Rattus norvegicus: one gene and its partners. The protein of the gene in region 1 interacts with the protein of each later gene in a biochemical or structural test. Links are inferred from orthologs where the notes say so. Each region holds a gene or a part of one and is shown in the gene's direction. Other genes may lie near its edges. The genes, in order: Ubc, Zfand6, Ankrd13a, Gtf2ird1, Rabgef1, Ubqln4 and Cfap36.

Region 1 (4,212 bases):
AGACCCTGTCTCAAAAAAAAATCTCAAAAAAGAAAAAGGTTGAGATTAAAGGCATTTAATAGTGTGTGTGTCTGTGTGTGTGCATGCTACATGTATGTGAGTGCCCCTAGGGACATTGGACCTCCTTGAAGCCTTGAGAAGCTTTGGAGTCAAAGGCCTTTGTAAGCTAGCTGCCTGACAGGGTTGCTCAGTATTGAACTCTGGAAGAAGACCTGCTCTTACTGCTGAGCCATCTCTCTACCCTAGGGATTCAATTCTTACCTTCTAAGGTCTCAGGCCTTACATTTCAAAAACCTGAATAGGCTGAATTTTACAAGTGGGGTATATGTTTGCTGTAATCTGAACATTGTACTAAACGTGTACTTTTTGTGTGTGTGTGTGGGTTTTTGTTTGGTTTTGGTTTTTTTCAAGACGAGGTTTCACTGTGTAGCCCTGTAGACCAGCACTTAGAGGCAGAGGCAGAAGGATCTCTGTAAACTTGAGACCAGCCCGGTCTACGAAGCCTATTCCAGGACAGCCAGGGCTATACAGAGAAACCCTGTCTGAACAACAAAAATTAAAAAAATAGGATTTCGATGGGTTCAGTCTCAGAATATGAACAACATTTTGATATTTTGACCTTTCCTTAGTGACAATCGAACAGAAAACAGAACCTTCTCGAATCCAAGGACACCAGACATAAACAGACTTAGGAAGAATCTGGAAAGATCTAGTGCCCACTGGGCTTCAGATCTAATGCCAACAGTTTTCAAGAACTGTGAGGACTGACTGCTTTTCTTGACGAATTCAGATTCGTTTTCCCAAACTGGGGAGAGATCCCCCCCCCCCCCATTTTTTTTATAAAAAATAAAAAAAACCGTTGTCATTTCCCTTGTTATGAGATTTGCACAGTCATCCATCCTGTCACCGTGCCAAAACAAAGAGGGCTGGGCACAGTGACGACCGACTCGAGGTGAGGGAACTTAGGAGCCGAGGCCACCAATGGAATATCAGTGTAACAAGAGCCAAAGCCCTAGGTCCCCCTAACAGAAAGAGGCGACTGGGACCCTTGACGGAGGGGGTGGGGGGTAGTTGGTGGGTCTCCGGCTCGCTTAGCCACAGTGCGCCTGCGCCGAGGTCCGCTCCGGCTGCAGTGATCCCTGCCGGGTTTTAGCGCCGATCACGTCACAGGCGCTGATCCCTCCGCGGGGTCGCGCAAGGTCGCAGTCCTGCCCCTCCACACAAAGCCCCTCACTCTCTGGCCTTCGCAGTGGAACAACCCCATGAAGCGATCTTAATGGTTTTAGCCTGTCGCTTCCATTGCAGAGATTGGACCGGGCATTAAAAAGTAGTCCCCAACCGCATTTCCGCGGAGGAATCCAGGGGTGGGCGGGGCTCCCGATGACTATATAAAGAGACGCCTCGCGTCCCGCAGCTAGTTCCGTGGAGACCGCCAGTTCCGTCTCTACTCTTTTGTGAGGACTGCAGCCAACACCGCTGGTGAGGAGAAAGCCGCCACACCCGGCGGGGGCGGGGAGGCGGGAGGGGGCGAGAGACAGCCCGCGGCCCGGACGTTTGGTTTCCGTGGCCCGCGAGGACGGCTGCTGTCCTGAGGCCGAGGACCGGGCGGCAAGATGGCGGCCAAATGGAAGCCTGAGGGGGAAGACGCGCGGTCCTGACGCGCTGGACCAGGTTGGGGGAAGCAGGCCCGCGAGGCCGCTTGCCGCCGGTTAAGCCGGGAACGTCAGAGGCTTGGGTTGGGAACTGAATTCGGTTGGCGCGCTGTAGGAGCCTCTGATGTGAGAACTGTGGGTATTAGACGGGAGGGAGATGTCGGTTATCCGGAATTCGTCGGTTGCTAAATACAGGAGTGCGATTGGGAAGGGAGGGGGAGGGTGGCGGTCCAGCCTAGCCTATCGCCCCTGTGACGTCGCGGTTTGTGTGGTCTCACAGTGTATAGTGACGATGGCTTTAGCTTTCCCTCAGTTGTAGGACCGGGTTTGGGTCTCGGCCTCGGGTAGCCTCTCCAGAGTAAACAGGAACCGGAAATTCAGAGGGGGAACGTGAGCCTGACTTACATTGAGTCTTTCCTTGTCTCGCTACACGGATATGGCTGCGGAAACTATTTATTAGACAAGGGTGTTTTTTTTTTTAAGATTTATTTCTTCAGGGGTTGGGGATTTAGCTCAGTGGTAGAGCGCTTGCCTAGGAAGCGCAAGGCCCTGGGTTCGGTCCCCAGCTCCGGAAAAAAAGAACCAAAAAAAAAAAAGATTTATTTCTTCAGACACACCAGAAGAGGTGTGATCAGATCTCATTACAAATGGTTGTTAGCCACCATATGGTTGCCGGGAATTGAACTCGGGACCTCTGGAAGAGCAGTCAGTGCTATTAATCACTGAGTCATCTTACCAGCCTGACAAGGGTTTTAAACTTTAAAAAAATCTCTGCCTCTACCACCCATGTGATGAGGTCCAAGGCCAGTGCCACTTACCCCAGACTACTTTTTTTTTTAATAGAGTTTATTCAGGGCATGGGAAGGGGAGTTGAGGAGGGAGTAAAGCTGGTCGGAACATGTGGAGAGAGAGCAGGGAGGAGAATGGGGAGAGAAGGGACAGATGGGGTGAAAGTAAGAGGTTAAGAGGATAAGAGTAAGAGTAAACTACTGTTTAATTGTTCAGACAAAAGCTTGGGGGAAGGAGAGTTGAGGCAGGATCTCACTGTCTCAGGCTGACCTCCCAATTCACGAAATCTGCCCACCTCAGTGTCCCCAGTGCTGGGAGGAAAGATATGAACATAGTTCAGTTTTGTAGTAGTAACTGGCTCTATCTACCAGTCGGGACCTGAATCCGGGATTTCCAACTATTGCCTTCTAAGCTCTTGAGTTTCTGACTTCTTTGGAGTGGGTCCTCCTAAACCCCCCTCCCCCAAGGTGAAATGTGGGTCAGGCTTTTCTCCAAACTGCAAATAGTCAGGGACTGACTTTCAGCAGTTCCGTACTGAACGCTCCACCCTGCCAACTTGGTAATAGACAATGCCTAATATTCATAACTTTGTTCCATCAAGACTTTTATTTTCTTGTTGGTTTTAGGGGGTAAAATTCAAAACAGTCTGTGTAGCTATTTAGACTAAACTACTAGCCACCTCACAGATCCAACGGTTGGTGGCACTCTAAAGAATTTGTGTCATTCCTGACCTGTTTTTTGGTTTTTTGTTTTTTGTTTTTTTTTCCATAGACAATGCAGATCTTTGTGAAAACCTTAACTGGTAAGACCATCACCCTGGAGGTCGAGCCCAGTGACACCATTGAAAATGTCAAGGCAAAGATCCAGGACAAGGAGGGCATCCCCCCTGACCAGCAGAGGCTGATCTTTGCAGGCAAGCAGCTGGAAGATGGCCGCACCCTGTCAGACTACAACATCCAGAAGGAGTCCACCTTGCACCTGGTCCTTCGCCTCAGAGGGGGCATGCAGATCTTTGTGAAGACCCTGACAGGCAAGACCATCACCCTGGAGGTCGAGCCCAGTGACACCATTGAAAATGTCAAGGCAAAGATCCAGGACAAGGAGGGCATCCCCCCTGACCAGCAGAGGCTGATCTTTGCAGGCAAGCAGCTGGAAGATGGCCGCACCCTGTCAGACTACAACATCCAGAAGGAGTCCACCCTGCACCTGGTCCTTCGCCTCAGAGGGGGCATGCAGATCTTTGTGAAGACCCTGACAGGCAAGACCATCACCCTGGAGGTCGAGCCCAGTGACACCATTGAAAATGTCAAGGCAAAGATCCAGGACAAGGAGGGCATCCCCCCTGACCAGCAGAGGCTGATCTTTGCAGGCAAGCAGCTGGAAGATGGCCGCACCCTGTCAGATTACAACATCCAGAAGGAGTCCACCCTGCACCTGGTCCTTCGCCTCAGAGGGGGCATGCAGATCTTTGTGAAGACCCTGACAGGCAAGACCATCACCCTGGAGGTCGAGCCCAGTGACACCATTGAAAATGTCAAGGCAAAGATCCAGGACAAGGAGGGCATCCCCCCTGACCAGCAGAGGCTGATCTTTGCAGGCAAGCAGCTGGAAGATGGCCGCACCCTGTCAGACTACAACATCCAGAAGGAGTCCACCTTGCACCTGGTCCTTCGCCTCAGAGGGGGCATGCAGATCTTTGTGAAGACCCTGACAGGCAAGACCATCACCCTGGAGGTCGAGCCCAGTGACACCATTGAAAATGTCAAGGCAA
Region 2 (2,723 bases), on another chromosome or scaffold:
CGTAAGCCTGGGATTCTCTGGGATTCACTGGAAAGTGGTGCAACTAAAAATAGTTTTGCTGATTTTTTTTATTATTTATTTTGGCATAGTACCAAATACAGGTATAAAAATCAGGTGTATGAACAGAGCACAGTAAGATTTTGAGTGAAAAGTATGCTTCATTGTAGCATATGCTTATAATCCCAACACTTGAGAATTGGGGGCAGAATCAGAAGTTCAAGGCCAACATATGCTACATGACCACCTCTCTCGCAAAAATAGAAGAAAAAAAAATGATACCTTAGGATCTACTTCTTGCTGAAACATGAGTTGGCATTGAGGGAGGAGATTAAAGTATGATGTCAAAGATAACCTAAACTTCCCCATTCCTTCAATATATATTTAATTTAAGATGTACATATTTAATATCAAAGACATCATTTAAAAGTTTCATGAAGTTTCAGACTTCCTGATCACAAGGCTTAGGACTTAGTTTTCATCTAATTTAGCTTTTGATTGCTTCAATTTTCTATTAGTTTCAGAATATGTTTTTAAAGTTAAAAATGTGGTAAAGACAGTGAATGTCAATTGTTGATTAGATATTGATTATTCCTGAGCTCTGTTTTCCCAAATGCACACTAACATAAAAGCAATCACTGTCACTCTGAGTTTCTGAGCTCACAGGGCATAGCCCTAAAATTAAGTAGCTTTTATTGGGTGTTTTTGTATATTGGACACTCACCTGGTCCTTAGAGTAATTCATGACCCCTTAAAAAGTGCATATGTGAGACTTAGAGAAGCTTAGTGAATTGTCTCTGATTCTGAGGATATTGGCCCACAGAAATCTGCTTCAAGGGTCTTCTTCATCTCCCCAGACAGAACTGTTCACTTAGAGAGCTCCTGAGAGCTTAGCAGAGGGGGAAATTAAAGGTCACTCAGCAGCACGTCTCTGGAGTCACTGGTCTGCTGTCAATTAAATGTTACAGTTGTTCTGACAGTAGGCTTGTTTCTACATTGTGTATTTTCAGTTTAAAAATGATCCATTTTCAGTTTAGCAGCCTTTTCCTAGGAAGAAACTGAGCATATCACAAGTGAAGAAACCAGCTTGGAGAAAAAATCAGCCTTGCCCTCGTACAAATAAGTATATGTAGATGGGAGCAAGACAGGAAGCTATCTGATAATGAGTTGAGAATGAAGCTCTTGAAACTTTACAGTATTCTTCAGAGACTTAGAGACAGGGTTACTTAGCATTAACTGTGGGAAGAACTTAATATCTCACGCTCCTGTCTAACCCATGCTGTACACATATTCATCCATTTCCAGGGTTTGAATGCCGGTGTGGAAATGTTTACTGTGGTGTGCACCGTTACTCAGATGTTCACAATTGCTCTTACAATTACAAAGCTGATGCTGCTGAGAAAATCAGAAAAGAAAATCCAGTAGTTGTTGGTGAAAAGATCCAGAAGATTTGAACTCCTGCTGGAATACAAAATCCTTTGACTATCTGCAAACTAAACATTGACTTGAGGTTTTTTTTCCTAGTCCTTGGGAATGTAGAGCACCGTATCTTGCATAGACCGTTGAATCATGCATGTCATCAGAAGAATAGATTTTTGTTTTTGTTTTGAAAATGACTCTGAACATTTATTTCCATTGCAGTTTCTGTGGCTGAAAAGAAGTATTATACTTTTAAGATCATTTTAATTTTAGTTGAGTGCAGAGGGCTTTTATAACAAATGTGGAGAAATTCTGGAGGGCTGTGATTTTTTTCCAGTATTAAACATGCATGCGTTGATCTTGCAGTTTATTTCTCATTGTGTATGTATATATAGCTTTTCTCTGCAGCACGATTCCCTTTTGATAAGGCCCTTCTGGGTACAACTAGTTATCAGTAACTGAATGTATCTTAATCATTACGGCTGCTTCTGTTTGTTTGGTTTTTCATTAACAAAGGTTATACATATGTTAGCATATAGTTTCTTTACATCCACTATTTATGTTTGAATCATTTGTCACAGCAGAATATGTGCTGACGAGATTCTAAATTTGTGGCTTTCGGTTCCTTTTTTTTTTAAACAAGGGAAAGAAAAGCTGAGTGCATTTCACTGCTGACTGCAAGTTTCTTTGCGATTACTGTTCATTGGTCTGTGTGTGCACAGTATGAAGAATGATCTGGTCATTGTGCGGTATTTATGTTTATTCACCAGTCTTTGATTAAATAAAAAGGAAAACCAGAAAAAAAAAGTGCTACTTTTCCCTCTTCTTTCTGGTAGTTATTTGTCTTGTTAAATCTTTTAGGGCTTTGCTTTCCTAATATGGTAAGAGCACCACTATTACTTGTCTCACCTCTAGTTATGACTTAGGTGTTATGACAAATTATATTCCTGTGAGTGAAGACATTAGAATAGTTTCAAAGCCAAGTAACTTGGATGTGATATACTTTGACCCTCATCTGACTGTCCTGCACTCTTTTACACCAAATTAAAATCTAATGAGCTTCTTTACTTTGTAGGATTAGAGGCATTCAAATTGTGTCAGTAGGAGAATTATGTACTAGAAAGACCCTACAAAGACCTATTTGTCCTCTGGCTTCCAAACTTTTCTAGAAGTTAGCCTGCTTAAAAATAACAATGGTTGTACTTTACAGTACAAATTTCTTGATGGAAAAATGTTTAATTTTAATAACATATATATAATATGATTTAGTGTTAAAAGTATATATTCTGATCACATGAATAAATTTA
Region 3 (4,298 bases), about 11 Mb from region 1:
TACGCTGCAGCTCACACGAAAAAAGGGTATAGAATCCCAATGGTCATGAGCCACGATGTAGTTGCTGGGAATTGAACTCCGGACCTCTGGAAGAGCAGTTAATGCTCTTAACCTCTGAGCCATCTCTCCAGCCCCTAGGTGCCGTCTTTATGTCACTGTATCCTGTATTAGCTCCATTCACTCTTCAAGGACTCCAGACCCGAGCAGAATGGACGTGGTCAGTTTTCTTGGACAGCCTTCGCACTCATCTGAAGAGATGGGTTGTGTATATAGAGCCAATAAGGAAGAGGGGGTGCTTTGCAGGTTGCACTGGAGGACTTCGTGGCAGCTGTAAACACCTGGGCAGAGACAGCACTTGTTTCTTCGTTGTGACGAGAAGACACAGTGTCTGAAGTCGCAACCCAAAGGATGAATTTTACTTGTGCATACTGTGGACCAACCTGGATACTCCTCTGGGCCACAATCCTAAATCTGAGTGGTTAGCTTAGTGAGGCTGATGCGGGATAAACCTTCACGGCAAGCACTTTGAATTATAGCCGAGTTGGAAATTCAGACAGAACAGCGGTTTTCAACAGGGCGGTTTTCTTCCTCCAGGGGAAAAAACTGCCCGTGTCTGGAGACAGTTTGGGGGATAGTGTGAGTACTGACAGCATGGAACAGGCGAGCGTCCACCCTAACTTACAAAGCATCGGATGACCTCCGCGCACAGAACCCCCCAGTTCAAACACTGCAAAGTTTAAAAGCCCAGAGACACAACTACCCCGATAGTGAGGGTATCTGGTGTCACTTATCCGGGGTCCAGATCTCCTGTGAACACGATTTCACGCTGCCCACTTCCAAAATGGTTTCCGACCAATCGCGGAAGGCGGCGGCTGAGGGAGGCTCCAGTCCGATGGTTTGGTCCAGGCCTGCGCGTGCACCCCCGGGCGGCAGAGCCGATGGAAGAGGCCCGATTGTGGAGCGCACCACTGGAGAAGGCCGGGCAGGGGACGAGAGTCGGAGGGCGCGCACAGTGGGTTTTGTGCGTGGAGATCTCGGGCTTCCCAAGGGTCCCGCAGTTCCACAGAACGGTGGTGGTCGTGTGTCCAGGCGTGGGGGCTTGGTGGGGCGACATGGAGCGGGACTCGGTCCGTTCAGGAAGTCAGGTCCCCCTCCGCGGAGCGTGATGGAACGCCTCGCGTACTTCCCTGTTCGGGGCGGTTCGGCCGGCAGCAGTCGGTTCGCTAGCTGTCAGCGCGGGCGCGAGCGCGCGGGGCGCGGGGTGGGCGCGGCCGAGCGGGTCCCCGAGCCGGTCCCCAGCCCGGCCCGCGACCCCGGGCCTCCCGCGCCGCCCGCTCCGGACTCGGAGGCCCTTGTCGTCCGCTGCGCCCGGCACTTGGCCGCTCGCCGCTCTCCTCCCCTCGCTCTCCGTCCGGTCGGGCGGGCCCCCGAGACCCCGTCGGGTGGGTCCAGGTTGGTGGCAGGCGGGCGGTCAGGCCTGGGTGGCGACCTCCTCGCCATGTCCTCGGCCCGCGACACCAGCAGCCGCTTCCCGCTGCACCTTCTGGTCTGGAACAACGACTACCGGCAGCTGGAGAAGGAGCTGCGGGACCAGGTGAGGTGCGCGGCGCGGAGTCAGAGTCGGTTCGACTCCCGAGTCCCGGGATCTATCAAGCGCTCACCGTAGACCGGGCCCGGTGCCTTGGGCTTTTGGTCCACTCTCCCCTTTCTGATATCACTAGGAATGAGTGCTTAGTATTCCGCTTGACCGGGAAGGAAATTGAGACCCCAGAGCCTACTTGCCTTGCGCAAGGCGCAAGGCCACCGAGCTAATGAGAACCACGTCGGGATCTTTTATCTCAGGCCGGCTGGCCCGGGAATTCACCTTTAAGCTTTATGGCCTCGAAGACGGAAGAGCGACACACACACACACACACACACACACACACACACACACACACACACACACCCCTTACTCGAAGACGGAAGAGCGACACACACACACACACACACACACACACACACACCCCTTACTCCACCCGCCCTGGTGCTGGGGAAGAGCTTGGTTGGGTTCCGTGGACCGGTTCTAACTCCTGTGACCTTGGGCAAAGCAGTTATGTTCCGGGGCCCACTTTTCCTTACCCATAGGATAAGGGTGTAGGCAGTGATGACGGAAAGCCCAGTCCCTGTCTAAATTGATGGGGCTGGGACGGGGCCTAGGAATCAGTGCTTTTAACGAGCTCCCCAGGGTAGTTGGTTTAAGTGTGAGAGTCTCTGCTGCTCAGTCCTTAGGACCCCCCTGTTCTGAAGTACTTTGGATTTTTGTTGTTGTTGTTGTTTTTAATATTGCCATCTTTCTAAATCAGCGGTTCTGAATATTTGGCAGTGCAAGGAGAAGTTTGGGGCTGTTGTGACATGAGAGGTGGGTACTGTTGGCATGGAGTTGGGTGGAGGCCAGGGACCCCGCTGTGCCCTACAGTGTAAAAGGCAGCCACCCACCCGCAACAGAGTGTTACCGGACTCCAAATGTTAGTAGAGCCTTGGTTGAGAATCTTGGTGTTATATTATTTCGTTTGTTTGGGTTTCTTGGTTTTTCTCTGTTTTTGCTGCAGACAGGGTCTCACTGTGTAACCCCTGCTTAGCCTGGAGTTCACTGTGTAGCCCAGGCTGGCCCCAAACCTGGGTGAGGAGTGGCCTGCTGAAGGCTGAGCCACCTGGATGGAGACTCCTGGCATTAAGGGCGCTGCAGTCATTTCATTAGGTATGGGGTGTCTGGGTTGCTCTCTAACCTGTAGCAAATGAGATAAGGATTTGTAATTACTCCCGAAATCCACCACAATTGTTACTGTAGGCTTCATTCATGTTAGCCTGTGTGTCAGAGGCTTGCTTTTGAATGACTTACCGCTGACTAGTAACTGTTGCGAACCCTTGGTTCTTTTGATTGGTAAACATTGCCTTGCTGCTGTTGGAACAGTTCTACTCGGCCTTGGTTTATAGCTTGCCATATGTATTTTTAGTTGGATGGGCACCATGGGAAGTCAAAAGTCACATTTTAAAAATAAGGATTCCATGGCGGGCATGTCGGCGTACATCAGCAACCCAAATCGCCCAGGAAGTTGAAGCGGGAAGATCTGGAGTTGGAGGCTAGCCTGGGCAACTTGGTGAGGGCCTGTCTGAAAATAAATAAGAAAGGGTGAGACAGCCTGTGGGGCCCGAACACTTTTCTGTTGTGTGGGAGGCCCTGGGTTTCATCCTCAGGTATGTGGGGGATGGGGGTGGGGTCCAGACAGGGCAAGGTTCTGTAAGAGTCATTGTTCTTAATTAGATGACAGGGTAACTACTTAGGATTTAAAGAGATATGACACATGCCCCCAGAGAGGATGATTCACTGCCTGCTATCCCAGTATACCTGCTGATCTAACTCTCACACAGCTCAGAGGCCTTCTCTAGAATCTAAGCTCTTACACCCATCCACAAGCCCCATTCCGGACACTTCAAGAAGTAACCAGTTTTGACTAGATGTGGTGGCCCCCGTCCTGGAGGCCGGGGCAGGAGAATGACAAGTTCAAGGCCAGTCTGGGCAAGTGTGACTCTGTCTCAAAATAAAAATATAAAAAATGCAGAAAAGGACTTGAAGCACCTACAGCTCAGGGTTAGAACATGGAAGGGTTCCGGGCTCCGGGTCGTTCTGCTGAGGACAGTGGTTCGAAGCTCACACACTGTTGAAAGTACAGAGAGTCATGTCACGAGATTAAATCCCATGTGATAGAAAGATTCGTTATCACACCTCGGACTTCAGGCCGGAGTTCTGAAAGCAGCTTTCTCCTCACTGAGGAGGGAGAGCTGTCTGCAAAAGTAAGAGACAGGTCTTGGTCACGATCTCAGCAGTGGCCGAGTCACCGTTTCCTGAAAAGAAAAAAAAAGTGATAAAGGCATGGAAGATCTGTTTTGACCATGTCAGACCTTAAGAGCATTTGTAATTAAAGTTTGGGAACTAAAATCTTTTATTTTTGTTTTGAGACGGCGTTGCCGTGTAAATCTAGGTGGCCTGCAAGTCATCTGTGTAGCCCCGGCTGGCCTCAAACCCTCTCAGTAGTCTCCCTCCTCAGCCTCCCCTGTCCTGGGGGTCATAGGCTTGGCAGGGTTTGGGAATTAAAAAGTCTTGCTGTAGATTCGATGGGAGAAAACTTAAGGTCATTGCTGTCCTTGACTTCAAGGCTGAGAGAGAATGCTCATGTACTTGCCGGTTCTTTGGTCCTCTCGGTTTTGAGGCTGTCCTAATTTAACACAATGGGTCCCTTGACGGTGTAGCACTTGTG
Region 4 (3,500 bases), about 9.0 Mb from region 1:
CTCTTCTTAATCACCACTAAATTTCTTAGGCTAACCAGCATTAATTGTCCCAGTAGTCCTCTCTATTTGTGACTCTAAAACCAGAGCCACGGGCTGGAGAGATGGCTCAGTGGTTAAGAGCCCCGACTGCTCTTCCGGAGGTCCTGAGTTCAATTCCCAGCAACCACATGGTGGCTCACAACCATCTGTAAAGAGATCTGATGCCCTCTTCTGGTGTATCTGAAGACAGCTACAGTGTACTTATATATAATAAATGAATACATCTTAAAACAAAACAAAACAAAACAGAGCCACATGGGTGAAGCTGCTTGCTGGGGTTGGGACATGGCCCCCTTGTTCTATTACATTATCACCAGCTTTCTGTTTTCCAACTCCTTCGATGCCTAAGGTTGTCTGTCCTGGAACTTGCTCTGTAGACTGACCTTGAACTCAGAGATCTGCATGACTCTGTCTCAGCGCTGGGATTAAAGGCATGTGTACCATGCCTGGCCCTAAGCTTTTTTTTTTTTTTTTTTTTTTTCCCTTTTCACAAGATCTTTATAAGTTCTGAACTACAGTTCATTCCACATGTAGTCACATTGGCAATGGAGAAGAGCGGTCACAATCCATCCCTTGTCAATTTGACACAGACGCATATCTCCAAATGAAAACAATAACCAGGTTATAATAACCCCTAACGTGATATAACTGTCCCTTGCTCAACTGCAAAGGTATCAATAAAGCTTAGCTGGGTGGGTTCTTGCCTGAAGTTACCACTCCCTCAATTCTATTTAATATCCTTGAACACAGGGCTTAGCTACATTCCGCTTCCTGGTGCCCCTTTAAACTTTATATTTTATATTTTATATATATTTTATTTTAAACCATACATTTTATATTTTTCCTCTTTAACCTTGCTATGCTTGATCAAAAAAATCTTCCTCATAAGAGTCAACCACAGGGGGTTGGGGATTTAGCTCAGTGGCAGAGCGCTTGCCTAGGAAGCGCAAGGCCCTGGGTTCGGTCCCCAGCTCCAAAAAAAAAAAAAAAAAAAAAAGAACCAAAAAAAAAAAAAAAAAAGAGTCAACCACAGGACAAAGTGTAGACCAGGCTTTTTGAGGTTTCTTGTGTCGATGCAGTTAATCTGAATCTCTTCACCTTGGCCTCACGCAGATATTCAGACAAGGACAAAAACCAGCTACATTCTTTATCAAATCATCACAAGAACATCCTCTAGGCCACACATTAAAGTTCTCTTCTTCTGAAACCTCTTGAGCCAGGCCCACACTGTTCAAATCTCCCTCAGTACCACCGTCTTCCATGTTTCTACGAGGACAGCTCATTAAGCCCCACTTAAAGTAATCCACTGCTTTCATAATCCAAAGTCCCCACCAAATCCACATTCCTCCAAACAAAAACATAGTCAGGTCTATCATAGCAATAATCTAGTGCCAGCGTCTGTCTTAGTTAGGGTTTCATTGCTGTGAAGAAACGTCACGACCAAGGCAACTCTTGTAAAGGACATTGAATCGGGGCTGGCTTACAGTTAACGGGGTTCAGTCCATTATCATCATGGTGGGAAGCAGGGCATCACCCAGGTAGATATGATGTTCCAGAAAGAAGTGAATGGTCTACGCCCTGATGCAGAGGCAGCCAGAAGGAAATCTCTTCCATACTGGGTAGAGCTTGAGGACTAGGAGGACTCAAAGCCTCTCTACACAGTGACGCAGTTCCTCCAACAAGGCCACCCCTATCCAACAAGGCCGCACCTCCTAGTAGTGCCACTTCCCATGGGCCAGACATATTCAAACCACCACAGTGAGTTTGAGGCTACCTTGCTTAAATGAGAATCTGCCTCAAAAACATGTATTAAATGTAAATGCCTTGAGCTGAGGAAACAAAATGGCCTACGTGTGATCTTGGGCCATGAATGAGATTCCTAAGAGGCTGATGGGAGGTGAATTCGAGGCTGGGCTCAAGGTGGATCCCATGGGAACAGCATAGCCAGGGCCTCTATCTTCCCCAGCAATGCATGAGCAGGAGGGACAGATGGGATGGGAGGGAGCCAGGTGGAGGATGAGATTGGTGGCTTGGAGCACTGAGGCAGGCTTGGTGTGGGCCTGGGTCATCCAGTGGTTGACATTTGGTATCAGGCTCATTGTCCCCACAAAGTGGGCCTGGCTTCCATCCTACCCCATTACTTGGTCTCTGATGGGTGAGATTTACAGAGCGAGAATAGGTATTTAGAGAAGTCCCCATCTCTTCTCTTCCACTCAGGCCTCCTGATGACGGTGGGCAGGACACAAAGGCGCTGGTGGAGATGAACGGTATCTCTCTGCTACCCAAGGGGTCCCGAGACTGTGGTCTGCATGGCCAGGCCTCCAAGGTCTCTCCCCAAGACCTGACCCCCACCGCCACCCCATCCTCCATGGCCAACTTCCTGTACAGCACTTCGATGCCCAACCACACCATCCGGGAACTCAAGCAGGAGGTGCCAACCTGCCCGTTGACCCCCAGCGACCTGGGCTTGGGCTGGCCTGTGCCTGAGCCCCATGTCCCCAGCACCCAAGATTTCTCTGATTGCTGTGGTAATGCTGTAGTGGGGACCTACATGTCTCTCTGGGTGGTTACCTCTAAGGAGGAGGTATTTCTGGGCACAGGTGGGGTTTAGCCAGTTGCATTCTGTGGGGACCCAGTTCAACTTGGGCATCCACAGACCTTGCTTGCATGGGCTCGATAGGCAAGTGCAAGGAACAGCTGAGTATGAAGAAGTAGGCTCTATCCTAGCTGTGCGTGACAGGGCAAGCCTCTCACTGAGCCTCAGTTTCCTCATTTGTAAAATGGGAATGAGAATATGAGCCCGAGTATCCTTTATTGAAGATACTTGGGATCAAGATTCCTCAACCAGACATTTCAGATTTGGGTGCTGGGATGTGGCTCAGTTTAGTGTTTGCTTAGCTAAAGGCGTTTGTCTCCAAGCCTGACGACCTCAGTTCAGTTCCTGGGACCCATATATAAAAGGAGAGGAACGGCCTCCCACAAGTTGTCCTCTGATCTCTATAAGTTGACAAATAAGTGTAATTAAAGGGGTAAGATTCTGTCATGACGCCCACCTCTGGATAGCCAGTTCTGACACAGATTGCAGCTAAGAGCTGTCATTAGGGGTCGGGCCTCATGATCGTGGGGCTCAGTTCTAGTTTCTCTCGAGTAGGTGGGACCCCTCTAAAATGTATGCCTCTGTCCCCCTTGTTTAGGACAGGCGCCTGCAGGGCCTGCTGGGCCTCTCATCCAGAATGTCCACGCTTCCAAGCGTATCCTCTTCTCCATCGTCCACGACAAGTCAGGTAGGCTTATTGTCAGGTAGGCTTATTTATATATGTATAAATTAATCTGGGGTTTCAGCATGTGGGATGGTACCGCCCACAGTGGGTCGAGGTCGTTGTGTTAGTTTTTCTTGTTGCTGTGCTGGGTGGTCATGCAAAGAACAGAAAAGAGATGATTGCTGGTGCTCAGCCTGATTT
Region 5 (3,986 bases), about 4.8 Mb from region 1:
AGCAACCACATGGTGGTTCACAACCATCTGTAATGAGATCTGATGCCCTCTTCTGGTGTGTCTGAAGACAGCGACAGTGTACCCACATACCTGAAATAAATAAATCTTAAAAGGGAAGAGAACCTAGAAGAAATAAAGGTAGGTGTCATGACTGGCAGCAAAACAACCCTTGAAGAGGTGGGGTGTAGACTGTTCAGCCTGACTTAGTCATCCAGGCTGGGTCAGACTTCGGGAGTCTGATGCCAGGCGGTTTATTGTCTTGCACACTTAAACATGGTGCAGTTTGGAAAACTGTTTCCTGGTGTAATACAGTCCCTGGTACACAAGGAGGCATAATTGAAACTCATCTAGAAGTACGTATCATTTCTTCCAAGATAGGTTGTAGAGACAGGCTACCTGTATTAGCTAGGACAGAGGGGTGTTCTGGCCTGGTCTGCATCACACATTTAGCATAGAGGTCATTTGGGCTGTTAGCCACCTGTGGTCCTGGTTGTGGGAGCTTGGTATGGCCTGGTCCTACAGACAATACAGACTACCAGGCTATTCACCTCCAGTTCCCAGCCTTCTGAATGCAACAAAAGGCTGTATCTAACGGATACGTATTCCTATTAGCACTTCAGTATGTGTGTGTGTTTAAGGTGGCTTTCTCAGTAGTGTGAAATGATGTCTCATTATGGTTTTGATTTATTCCAATTCCTTCAAGTGTTTTCTGACTACTAAATATTTATTTCTAGGTAAGGTTTCACTCTAAGCTAGGTGGGCCTAGAACTTGCAGTCTTCCTGCTTCAGACTGATGGATTACAGGCCTATGCCAACATTCCCAGTCTTTGTTAGTCATTTTGTTTGTTTTTGAGACAGGGTCTTGCAGACTGTAGGACACTTATTTCTCCTTAGGAGAGTTGTGTGTTCTATCTTGTTGGCTTGTCGGTGTTCTTCATATATTTTGGGCTTGACCTTTTCTGCAGAGGTTGGAAATGTCTTTTCCCATTCAGTAGGTGGCCTCTTCACTCTGTTGGTTGCATTGTGTGTTGTGCAGAAGTTTGCTGTTGTGCCATTTGTCTGGTTTTGTTACTTCTATTTCCTGTGCTTTGGCGTGTTGAAGTCTTTGCCAGTGTCAGGAAGCTTTCCTTCTAGGAGTTTAAAGCTTTATGCTTAGGTCTTTAATCCGGTATTAGGCTCTTAAGGTGCTCTGTGTATTTCGGGCCTCAGATGAAGTCTTTCTTTACTGTGGCTGTACTTGAATTCGCCGTGTTGAACTTTGGCGTTTGTACTTTCTTCTCTCCTTCTGTTCTTTCTTTCTCCCCTTATGGCTTGAAGAGCTCAGACTCATTTGAATTTTGCTTCATAAGTGTTGTATTTTAATAGTATGGAAGCAAGTTAATTTTCAATGCTTTCTCACTCCTTGGTTATCAGGAAGAAGATGAGCCTGAAGTCCGAACGCCGGGGAATTCATGTGGATCAGTCGGAGCTCCTGTGCAAGAAAGGATGTGGTTATTATGGAAACCCTGCCTGGCAGGGTTTCTGCTCCAAATGCTGGAGGGAGGAGTACCACAAGGCCCGGCAGAGGCAGATCCAAGAGGACTGGGAACTAGCAGAACGGTAAAGGACCTCACAGGCTATGTGGAGGTGTGGTGTGGTCACTAAGACAGAACCGGCATACAGTCTGTCATGCCCAGGCCTGCTTATCTAGAACCCTCGTCATCCTGTAGACCTGCCGTGAGCGTCACCACTGTAGTGCCTTCTCAAACCTTTCTTCTGGAGTTTTCTGTCCTCTGTTCTAAAAACACTTGGTTTCCACTCTGCTCTAGGAATTGTCTTGCTGGATAGTGATATTTTGTGTGGCTCTCAAATAGGGAAAAGCGCTACATTCCTTCAAACACCCCCCGATTGTCAGTGCTGATGATTGAACCCAGACATGCTGGGTGTGAACTCTCCCTCTGAACTGTATCCATCTCAGCAAGTCCATTTCTTCCTTTCTTTCTTTTTTACCTGTACCCCTCTTCCTTTCTTTATGAAAGATTTTTTAGAAAAATATTTACTATTTTATGCGTATAAATGTTTTGTCTGCATTATGTATGTATGCCTCTGTATATGTGTGTATGTTTGAAATATGTGTGCCTAGTGCCTGTGGGAGTCAGAAAGGATCTCCTGGAAATAGAGTTGCAAGTGACCTTGTGATGTCCCGGGAATTGAACCTTGGTTCTCTGCAGATCAAGTACTCTAAACTTCTGAGCAATCTCTTTGACACCATTGAAGGGTTTATTTGTGTGTGTGTGTGTGTGTGTGTGTGTGAAGGAACTTGGATCCTGTTGCAGGACATTTGATCACACTGAACCCCAAGATTGTTTTACTGAAAATAACTGTTTCTAGTTAAGGTGTGGCTCGACCTTTAGCAAACACCTTTAATCCCTCTGTCTGGAACAGACACACCCTTAGTTCACATCTTTAATCCCAAACAATGAAGGTAAAGGAGGCACTCTTGTTTGACAGTGATGGGTAATTGAGTGGCAGACAAAGTGATAAGTCAGAGAAAGATTTGACAGAATAGGATTTGCCTGACTCACAGGAGACGAGAGAGAGGAAAGGGAAACTACTTAAGGGAGAGACAGATAGTACAGGAAAAGGAGAGCACAGGACAGGAGTGCAGTAGAGTGTGGAGAGCAGTGCAGTAGAGTTGAGAGGGAGAGTTGAGCACCACCGAGAGGGAGAAGGAGAGAGGCAGTTTTACTGGGATAGTTGAACAAAGACAGGTTGAAGAGAGAACAAGTTAGACACAGGTGAGGACAGAACGAGCCAGAGAATGAGAAGGGACCAATAGGTTAGAACAGATTGCCAAAGTTATATGAGGCCAAACAAAGCAATTCAGGAGAGGCTGAGAGGAGGTTGGGGGTGGGGGGTAGATTGAATCAGTCAGCTCGGAGAGGAGTTTGAGCTTGAACAGCTGAGTTGAACCAGACAGCCAGAGTTCAGAAAGAACTAGGAAAAGGTGAGCTTATTCAGCAGCAAGTCTGAGAGGCTGAAAACACTCTAGGCCTAGCTAAGATTGTACAAATGCTAGGAGCTTCCAGGACTAGGCCTAGGCTATCAGTAAGCCTCCAAGATAGCAATTACAACAGGCCAATAAAAGTTACTTTTACAGGTCCTCTGTAAAACAGTATGTGCCCTTAACTGCTGAGCCATCTCTCCAGGCCCTAACATGCACACATTCATATGGTACATAATGTTTATATTAAAAAAAACTATCTTGTTTTGTGAGAGGGGTTATCTCCATGTATAGATGCCAGGGTTTTTTTTTCCTTCAGCCAGATGGGTTTTGGAGATTGAATTTAGGTCATTAGGCTTGGTGGCAAGTGCCTTTTATCTTACCTACTGAGCCACCTTGCTGGGCCTTTAATGGTATTTTGAGGCAGGCTCTCCCTGTATTCCAGGCTGACCTCAGACTTCCTGTGTCATCAAGGGTGACCTTGGACTGGATATTCTTGCCTTTACCCTCCACATGGTGGGAGAACAGATGTGTGCCACCATGCATGCAGCGATGGGGACTGAACTCAGTGCTTTGAGAGTGCTAGGCAAGTTAGCTACTCCTAAGCCTCAAATGTGATATTTCTTTCTGTACTTTCAAAGATTTATTTGTATGTGTATGGTGCCTGCATGTACGTAAGTGCACCACACGTGTTCAGTACCCGAGGAGACCAGAAGAGGGTGTCAGATTGTCTAGAGTTGGAGTTACGGGAGGTGATGAGCTGCCGTGTGGCTGCTGGGAACCAAACCCAGGTCTTCTACAGGTGCAGCAAGTGCCTTAAACCCGGAGCCATCTGTCCAGTGCCTACATTGACTTATGGTATGTGTGAGTGTGCAATGCCACAGCACATGTACGGAGGGCAGAGGACAGCCCCAGTGGTCACTTCTCTCTTTCTACCCTTTGAGCTCCTGGGACTCAACTCCGGAGGCCATGCTGGTGACAAGTGCCTTTACACACTGAGCCA
Region 6 (3,500 bases), on another chromosome or scaffold:
CGGAGCTCATGAGGCAGGTGGGTCTGAGAGAAGCTTGGAGGAGGGAGGGCTCTGGCGTCGGTCGGCTGCTCTGAGCTCACTGTTTGCCCATCCTCTTGTTCGCTCGGTTGAGCAAGTGAGCAAGTGTGTTTTGAACACTTGGGATAGTTGTGGACAGACACGGGCCAGCAACTCCTTGACCCTAAGGCAAGTGGGACAGATTGTGGGCAATGCTGGACAACTAGTGACGCCCTGGGAACATCTGCTCCGGGGCTTATAGAAGGTCTTCTAGAAATGTCACTAAGCTAAGACCCAGAGGAAGACAGAGGATGAAGCAAGGAAAGAAAAAGACTGTTGGAGGCCAAGGAACCTCAAAAGGAAGGTCCAAACAGTGTTTGACCCAGTAGCTGAGCATGCCTTGTGGAGAAGGACACCCAGTGGAAATCTTTTTCTTTACTTTTGAGACAGGGTGTAGCTGGACTTTTCTACTTTGTGGGTTCTTCTCCCCCCAAACCTTCCATTTCCCCCATACCCCTGTTTTATCCCCTATCACTAGGTAGGGGAGAAAAAAGACTAGAGGGGAGAAAGAAGTAGAGATCCCTAAATTTAATTTTTCTTTCTTTTTGTTTCTTCTTTGCTTGTAGCTGGTCTCTGCTACCTGTGGTTTCTTCTCCCTCCCCCTTTTATCCATTCCTGCATTTCACCCCTTCTCACTAAATAGGAAAGAAAGAAGGATAGAGAAGAGGGAGAGATCTGTGAATATCTTTCTTCTGTGTCTTCTTTGACCACGACCCCCTGAATGACCAACACCCACCCCACCTAGCACTTATAAACCCTCTGAAAACTTCCCAATGTCACACAATGGCAGAAACTGTCTGCAACTGGCAAAACCTTACACCTCTGCTAGAGCAGGAAGCAAATCACAGGCAGCTGCTGAGAAGCAGCCCCATGGCCCCATGCCTGGGATTACAACAAAAACATATTCTTACACTGTTTCTGTTTTTTTGTTGTTCTTGGTTTTTGTTGGTGGTGGTAGTGTTACGTTTTTTGAGAGAGAGTTTCTTCCGCCTACAGAGGACTAGGACTAAAGGTGGGCACCACCACTAGGCTGTTTCTGTGGTTGTTTTGTTTTAAAGAAACCAGGATTCCAGAGTTCTTACTACAACAGGGTCTCTGTCTGTCCTGGAATTCTCTTTATAGACAAGGCTGACCACAACTCACAGAGATCCTCCTGCCTCTGCCTCCTGAGTGATGGGACTAAAGGCATTTACCAGAACACAGGCTAGGGGGTCTTGCCATCAGGGTTGTGGAGACCTGAGTGACAGCAGGCCCTTAGAGTAAGCTATCAGCTCTAAAGAGGAGATCATCTCTCAGGCTGGAGAGATGGCTCAGAGGTTAAGAGCACTGACTGCTCTTCCAGAGGTCCTGAGTTCAATTCCCAGCAACCACATGGTGGCTCACAACCATCTATAATGGGATCTGATGCCTTCTTCTGGTGTACCTGAGACACTACAATATACTCATATGAATAAAATAAATAAATCTTTTAAAAGGAGAGAGAGAGAGAAGAAGAGAGGCCTCATCCTCAGTGTCACAGACAATTCAGGTTGGCTGAAGACCCAGAAGTGGAGGATGTCTAGGCTGAATTCTCTGCCCAGTTTGATTTACCAGTACTAACAGTGTGGTTTGCTGAGACCTGGCCTAGAAACCTGTTTGTATGATTTACTCCTGTGTGTTAGGGGGAAACAGGTCAGTGATCCTCTCTGACCCCGTTTTCATATTTACAGTAGGGAGACAGGAACACTTACCTGGTTATTGTGAGAAGGGTGTGACTTCAATTTTACATCATTTAGTTGCTCTCAGTGTCAAGCTTTAGGGATGTCATAAAGCTAGTAAACTGCTTTTTATTCCTCTCCCTTGGACTCCTCTCTCCTCCCCTAATCTGTTCCAGCCTTCTAAGACTCCTTGCTTAGAGGATATACCTAGCCTTTCCGGACTCTGATCAAGAGATCATTTATTATTCAATCACTTATCATCCATTGGATATTTATTGGATCATTGTTACGGAACAGGTTCTAGGCGCTTGGTGGGTTGTACTCAGTGCCTCTTCACACCCCCATTTTCTTGTTTTTAAAGATTTATTTTTTATTATATTTAAGTACACTGTAGCTGTCTTCACACACACCAGAAGAGGGCATCAGGTCCCATTACAGATGGTTGTGAGCCACCATGTGGTTGCTGGGATTTGAACTCAGGACCTCTGGAAGAGCAGTCAGTGCTCTTAACCTCTGAGCCATCTCTACAGCTCCCCCAGTTTCTTATGCTCTCTGACATCTCTGGGGGGTCCCCTGAGCCTGAGAGGTGGAAATTGCTACCTAACTCCATCTGGGAACACTGTCCTTCAGTTCAGAAAAGCCACAGGGAGGCAAGGATCAAGCCCAGATTACAGTGGAGGGAGGGATCTGGTTGGCTGTGCTCCCTGCCACCACTGAGTAGTTCCTGCACTCCTTGTGCAGACTCCCTCCCTCCTCAGGTCCCTTTTCCTAGCTTGGTGTTCCTCTGGTTCCAGGGCCCATCTCATATTTTTCCCTTCACCAGACAATGGAGCTTGCTCGTAACCCAGCCATGATGCAAGAAATGATGCGGAACCAGGACCGGGCCCTCAGCAACCTGGAAAGTGTCCCGGGAGGGTATAATGCCCTCCGCCGCATGTACACGGACATCCAGGAACCCATGTTCACTGCTGCCCGGGAACAGGTGGGGCCAGGAGGCAAGCAACAGAGGGCTGGCTGGGTTCAGGCTTCCCTATTCCCAACCTAGGCGTGCCCCAGTGCTTTCTTACTTGTCCAGTCTCCTGTTGGGCGGGCCTTGGCTTGAAGGCATTTCCAGTAGTGCACAGCCAGGGACAGCCAACTTGATGAGGGTAAAGTATAACAGAGGTCCTTAGGGAAGTAGGTAAGATGGTGTCCAAGGAGCATAGTGAATTGTTCCTGATAAACTCTTGCACCAGAGGCTCAAAGGCTCGGGAGCTGACCTGGGGTCAAAAGCTATAGTGAGTGTGTGTGTGTGTGTGTGATATATATTCATGGTTCACCTGCATCCGAATCACTTGGGGGGACCTATCAATAACGGGGTTCCAGACCCTACTTAGGGCTGCTGGTTGGTTAGTCTCTGCAGGCTTTTGTGTTGTTTGTTTTTGAGATCTCACTATGTAGCCCTGGCTGGCCTGGACCAAACCAGGTTGGTCTCAGAGATCCTCCTGCCTCTGCTTTGAGTAAATGCTCAGTGAGCCCTGTTTTTGTTTTATATTTAAGACAAGGTCTCACTATATAGCCTAGGGCATCCCAGAACATGAAATACGCCCAAGCCGGTTTCCCAATTGTTGAGATGTGGCACCATGGTCAGCAGGATTATGTATGTCAAAAAAAGTTATTTTACATGTGTAGATATTTTGTCTACATATTTAAATGTGCACCATATGTATGCAGTGCCTCTGGAGGCCGGAAGAAAGAGTCAGATCT
Region 7 (3,500 bases), on another chromosome or scaffold:
TCTTTTTCTTTTTCTTCATTTTGGTTTTTCTCTGTAGAGTCCTGGCTGTTCTGGAACTTATTCCATAAACTTACTCAAGGCTGACCTTGAACTCACAGAGATTCTTTTGCCTCTGCCTTCTGGGTGCTGGGATTAGAGGCATGTGTGTGTCACTATTGTCTGACTGATTAATCTTTTAAGTAGTCATGATTTATCTATTTATATCATCTTGTCATCATACTGTGAGTCTTGGCCAACTGTGGTCATCAAGTTTGGCCACAAAGTTGTTACCTATTTCTTCATTCTTTGAATGTTTGTAGTTGAACAGTGATAGTTCTTCTTACATTTTTTTTTTATATATCTGATCATACTGTGAATTTTAAAGTATGGTGTTAGCTGTGGTTTTTGTTTTCCTTTTGTTTTCTTGAGATAGGGTCTGGAGTAGTCTAGGCTGGCCTCAAAGTCACTATGTAGCCCAGATTGCCTTTTTCTTAGCTGGGTCAACAGTCCATCAATTTCAACAAGCATTTAAAGAACCAGAACACTGGCTCAGCAGAGAGCTCTTTTCGAGGACCTGAATTCTGTTCCCAGCATTCACATTAGGTGGCTTACAACAACTATGATTCCAGCTCCAGGGGCTCTCACATTCACAGAGTTACAAATAATGAAAATAACACTTTAAAAAGACCAGAACAATTCCTTTTATGCTTACTGTTCAGATTATAAAATGTTACTTAATTCATTTAATATTTGTGAATTAGTTATTATTATATTTGTTTTATTCAGAAGCAAATGTTTTAAAAAAGATTTTATGTGTACTGTGTATATAGTGCCTGCTGAGGCTAGAGGAGGGCATTGGATGCACTGGAACTGGACTCACAGATGGTGTTAACTATAATATGGATGGTTGGAATTGAACCTGGGTACTCTTACTTGTGGAGCCATCTCTCTAGGCCCCAGAGACACATTTTTATATCATAATATATTTAAAATGAGATTGTTTTGCATAATTAATAGTGTTATTTAACTGGTAGTTTTTCTAAGTGATATATAAAGCAATGTCCTATTTTATTACTTTTCAGAATCCTAGAGTCCATGAAACACTACATAAATTCTGTGTTATTTTTATTGATGCTAAGGATTAAATGATATCCAGGGTCACAGATCCACTAGTGCCTATAGTTAAATCAGATGTAGGCTTTTGATATCAAGCTTCTTTTCCTTCCATGATATGCCAATGTTTCTTAAACTTTAATGCTTTAAGAGTTACTCTGTGGAGATATGTGGGCATACATCCTGTAAAGCTTATATAGTTTTTAATGTCTAAAACAGGGCTCAGGAAAATGCTTTATTAACAATCATTTTTCTTGGATTTATTAAGTAGGGTCAAAGGTCACAAGTACAAATTCAATCTTTAAGAAAATTTGTGCGACATATTGCTATCAACAGCAGTGCCCATAGTTGAGTGTGGTGGCTCAGACCTGTAATCCCAATACTTTGTCTCAGGAGGCAAATTATAATTGAGTTTGAGGCCAACCTAGGCTACAAAGTGAGACCCTGTTTCAAATGGCCAAAAGTTCGATAGAATAGCAATGCCATTTTAAAAGTTAGATAAAGTACTTGTTGTTAGTATTAGGCCAGGATGCCCAACCCCCAAAAGGGGATTCAGACAGAAGCTGCCCATATTGGTTTTAGCACTCTCAGTTCAAGTTTGCCATCCCCTGCCTTGAGATTCCTGAAAACCTCAGCAGAAGTTAAGGAAGTATTTTATATTTTTCTTCATAGTGTACTCCTTGAAGGTGCCTCTGAGAACCACTCTTGCCTTTACCCTTGTTATACTGCACATCTAGAATGTGTTGAACTGGTTTGGCTGCTAGAGGAAGGGCTCATCTGTTTCAAGGGGAATTCTTTGATGAGCTGTCTTGTCGGTGTTCTTTGTAAGAACATCGCCTTTGCCTTCTAGGACACAGTACCTTCTTGGTTACTTCTGCATGATTTTGTGTGGTCAGCTTTTCCATTCATCTCAGGTAGAGCTGACAATTAAATTCTGATAAGACAAGATAAGACCTGGGTGCTTCCTTTGGGTATTTCCATGCACTTCACTCTTATTCTGCTCATTAATTAGCTTAGGAATTGGCTTGTTCTTGGCAATGTGTAACGTTACTAATAGTTAAGGAAATATTTATATATGTAATCTATTGATAGATACTTTTATTATTTTTTTAAAGATTTATTTTTATTTTATGTGTAAGGGTGTTTTGTCTGTATGTATGTCTGTGTACCACATGTATACCTGATGCCCTCAGATTGAGTTACAGATGCTGTGAGCCACCACCGTTTGGGTGCTAGGGATTGAACCTGATGCTCTGCAAGGGCAGCGATCTTTGTTATCCAGCCATCACTCCAGCCTCACTTTTATTCTTCACTTACTATACGTTTTATAATTCCTAATCTAATATAATCTCTGACATATATTTTTTTTTCTTATAAGACCCTAATTTTTGTTTATTTCCTGAATCAAACCCAAAGTAAATTTCAGGAGATAGGATATAATTGGGCTTTAAAACTCAAACCAGATGGTCATGTTTTCCATTTAACACTACCTGGTTTGGAGAAGGAGCCTACCTGTCTCACTCCTGGAGACTTGCAGGTTGAGTGAGGTAGCTCCTGAGAACCTTATTTTAAAGGCTTAAAAATAAAATCATAGCAGGGTATAGCTATGCACCCTGTAATCCCAACACTTAGGAGGCCAAGGCAGGAGAATTAGGAGTTTGAGGCTACATAATGAAACCCTTTGTTGTGTATTTCAATCTTAAGATTGTCTATTTGAGTCACCTAACCATCATAATGATGTAACATCCATGAATTAATATGCTGCTTTTCAGTGGAAATAATTTGAATGTGGGTTAAACAGTTTCCAAACTTAAATCATTTAACCTCCAGACTTCCTCCCACAGGCCATTTTGCAGCCTGTGTTGGCAGCAGAAGATTTTACTATCTTTAAAGCAATGATGGTCCAGAAGAACATTGAAATGCAGCTTCAAGCCATCCGAATAATCCAGGAGAGAAATGGTAAAATACTGAAGTTAGGAATCTAAGTACTAACTGAATTTGTTTCTGAAGTTTGATTTTTTTTCTAACAGTCTTAAAATAGTTGGCTACCTTTTATGCATTTATTTCAAATGTGAAAGTGTTTGTAAAAGATTTAAGAATATAAATTTCCTAATTTAGCATATGGCATCTCAAACAAAGAAGACAGTTTGACTTACTGACACTGTAGTCTTGTGAGAGCTTACTCTCCTGCTCAGCCGTTGTGCTAGTTAAGTGTTGTGTCTGTTGTTACTGTTATGAGCAGGTGACGGTGACTACTCTTCTGCTTGTCACTATTAAGACCTTAGTAGGAAATGGTTCTCTGGTGTCAGTAAGCATTGGGTCAGCCATCATGGGTCTGGGGTGGGACATAGTCATCTGTGTCTTAAACAGGTTTCCAGGTGTTGCTGGACCTGTTGATCCTGTCCACA

Evidence for each region.
Region 2: the proteins of Ubc (region 1) and Zfand6 form a complex in vitro, tested with the Homo sapiens proteins (6 studies listed by BioGRID, with this or other methods). The link is inferred for Rattus norvegicus from reciprocal best matches to the Homo sapiens genes UBC and ZFAND6.
Region 3: the proteins of Ubc (region 1) and Ankrd13a form a complex in vitro, tested with the Homo sapiens proteins (4 studies listed by BioGRID). The link is inferred for Rattus norvegicus from reciprocal best matches to the Homo sapiens genes UBC and ANKRD13A.
Region 4: the proteins of Ubc (region 1) and Gtf2ird1 form a complex in vitro, tested with the Homo sapiens proteins (3 studies listed by BioGRID). The link is inferred for Rattus norvegicus from reciprocal best matches to the Homo sapiens genes UBC and GTF2IRD1.
Region 5: the proteins of Ubc (region 1) and Rabgef1 form a complex in vitro, tested with the Homo sapiens proteins (10 studies listed by BioGRID, with this or other methods). The link is inferred for Rattus norvegicus from reciprocal best matches to the Homo sapiens genes UBC and RABGEF1.
Region 6: the proteins of Ubc (region 1) and Ubqln4 form a complex in vitro, tested with the Homo sapiens proteins (4 studies listed by BioGRID). The link is inferred for Rattus norvegicus from reciprocal best matches to the Homo sapiens genes UBC and UBQLN4.
Region 7: the proteins of Ubc (region 1) and Cfap36 form a complex in vitro, tested with the Homo sapiens proteins (2 studies listed by BioGRID). The link is inferred for Rattus norvegicus from reciprocal best matches to the Homo sapiens genes UBC and CFAP36.

Annotation. Positions count from the first base shown.
Region 1 is NC_086030.1:36,899,088-36,903,299, forward strand, and holds the start of Ubc (polyubiquitin-C), read left to right. Parts: upstream 1-1,412; 5' UTR 1,413-1,479; exon of another isoform or gene 1,480-2,042; intron 2,043-3,212; 5' UTR 3,213-3,215; coding exon 3,216-4,212.
Region 2 is NC_086019.1:147,989,599-147,992,321, reverse strand, and holds the end of Zfand6 (AN1-type zinc finger protein 6), read left to right. Parts: intron 1-1,302; coding exon 1,303-1,451; 3' UTR 1,452-2,223; downstream 2,224-2,723. UniProt on the Homo sapiens protein: Involved in regulation of TNF-alpha induced NF-kappa-B activation and apoptosis. Involved in modulation of 'Lys-48'-linked polyubiquitination status of TRAF2 and decreases association of TRAF2 with RIPK1.
Region 3 is NC_086030.1:47,485,657-47,489,954, reverse strand, and holds the start of Ankrd13a (ankyrin repeat domain-containing protein 13A), read left to right. Parts: upstream 1-1,498; coding exon 1,499-1,594; intron 1,595-4,298. UniProt on the Homo sapiens protein: Ubiquitin-binding protein that specifically recognizes and binds 'Lys-63'-linked ubiquitin. Does not bind 'Lys-48'-linked ubiquitin.
Region 4 is NC_086030.1:27,942,746-27,946,245, forward strand, and holds part of Gtf2ird1 (general transcription factor II-I repeat domain-containing protein 1), read left to right. Parts: intron 1-2,256; coding exon 2,257-2,567; intron 2,568-3,233; coding exon 3,234-3,323; intron 3,324-3,500. UniProt on the Homo sapiens protein: May be a transcription regulator involved in cell-cycle progression and skeletal muscle differentiation. May repress GTF2I transcriptional functions, by preventing its nuclear residency, or by inhibiting its transcriptional activation.
Region 5 is NC_086030.1:32,121,376-32,125,361, reverse strand, and holds the start of Rabgef1 (rab5 GDP/GTP exchange factor), read left to right. Parts: upstream 1-1,186; 5' UTR 1,187-1,387; coding exon 1,388-1,599; intron 1,600-3,986. UniProt on the Homo sapiens protein: Rab effector protein acting as linker between gamma-adaptin, RAB4A or RAB5A. Involved in endocytic membrane fusion and membrane trafficking of recycling endosomes. Stimulates nucleotide exchange on RAB5A. Can act as a ubiquitin ligase.
Region 6 is NC_086020.1:176,313,524-176,317,023, forward strand, and holds part of Ubqln4 (ubiquilin-4), read left to right. Parts: coding exon 1-17; intron 18-2,548; exon of another isoform or gene 2,549-2,577; coding exon 2,578-2,736; intron 2,737-2,833; exon of another isoform or gene 2,834-3,500. UniProt on the Homo sapiens protein: Regulator of protein degradation that mediates the proteasomal targeting of misfolded, mislocalized or accumulated proteins.
Region 7 is NC_086032.1:107,178,907-107,182,406, reverse strand, and holds part of Cfap36 (cilia- and flagella-associated protein 36), read left to right. Parts: intron 1-2,936; coding exon 2,937-3,051; intron 3,052-3,500. UniProt on the Homo sapiens protein: May act as an effector for ARL3.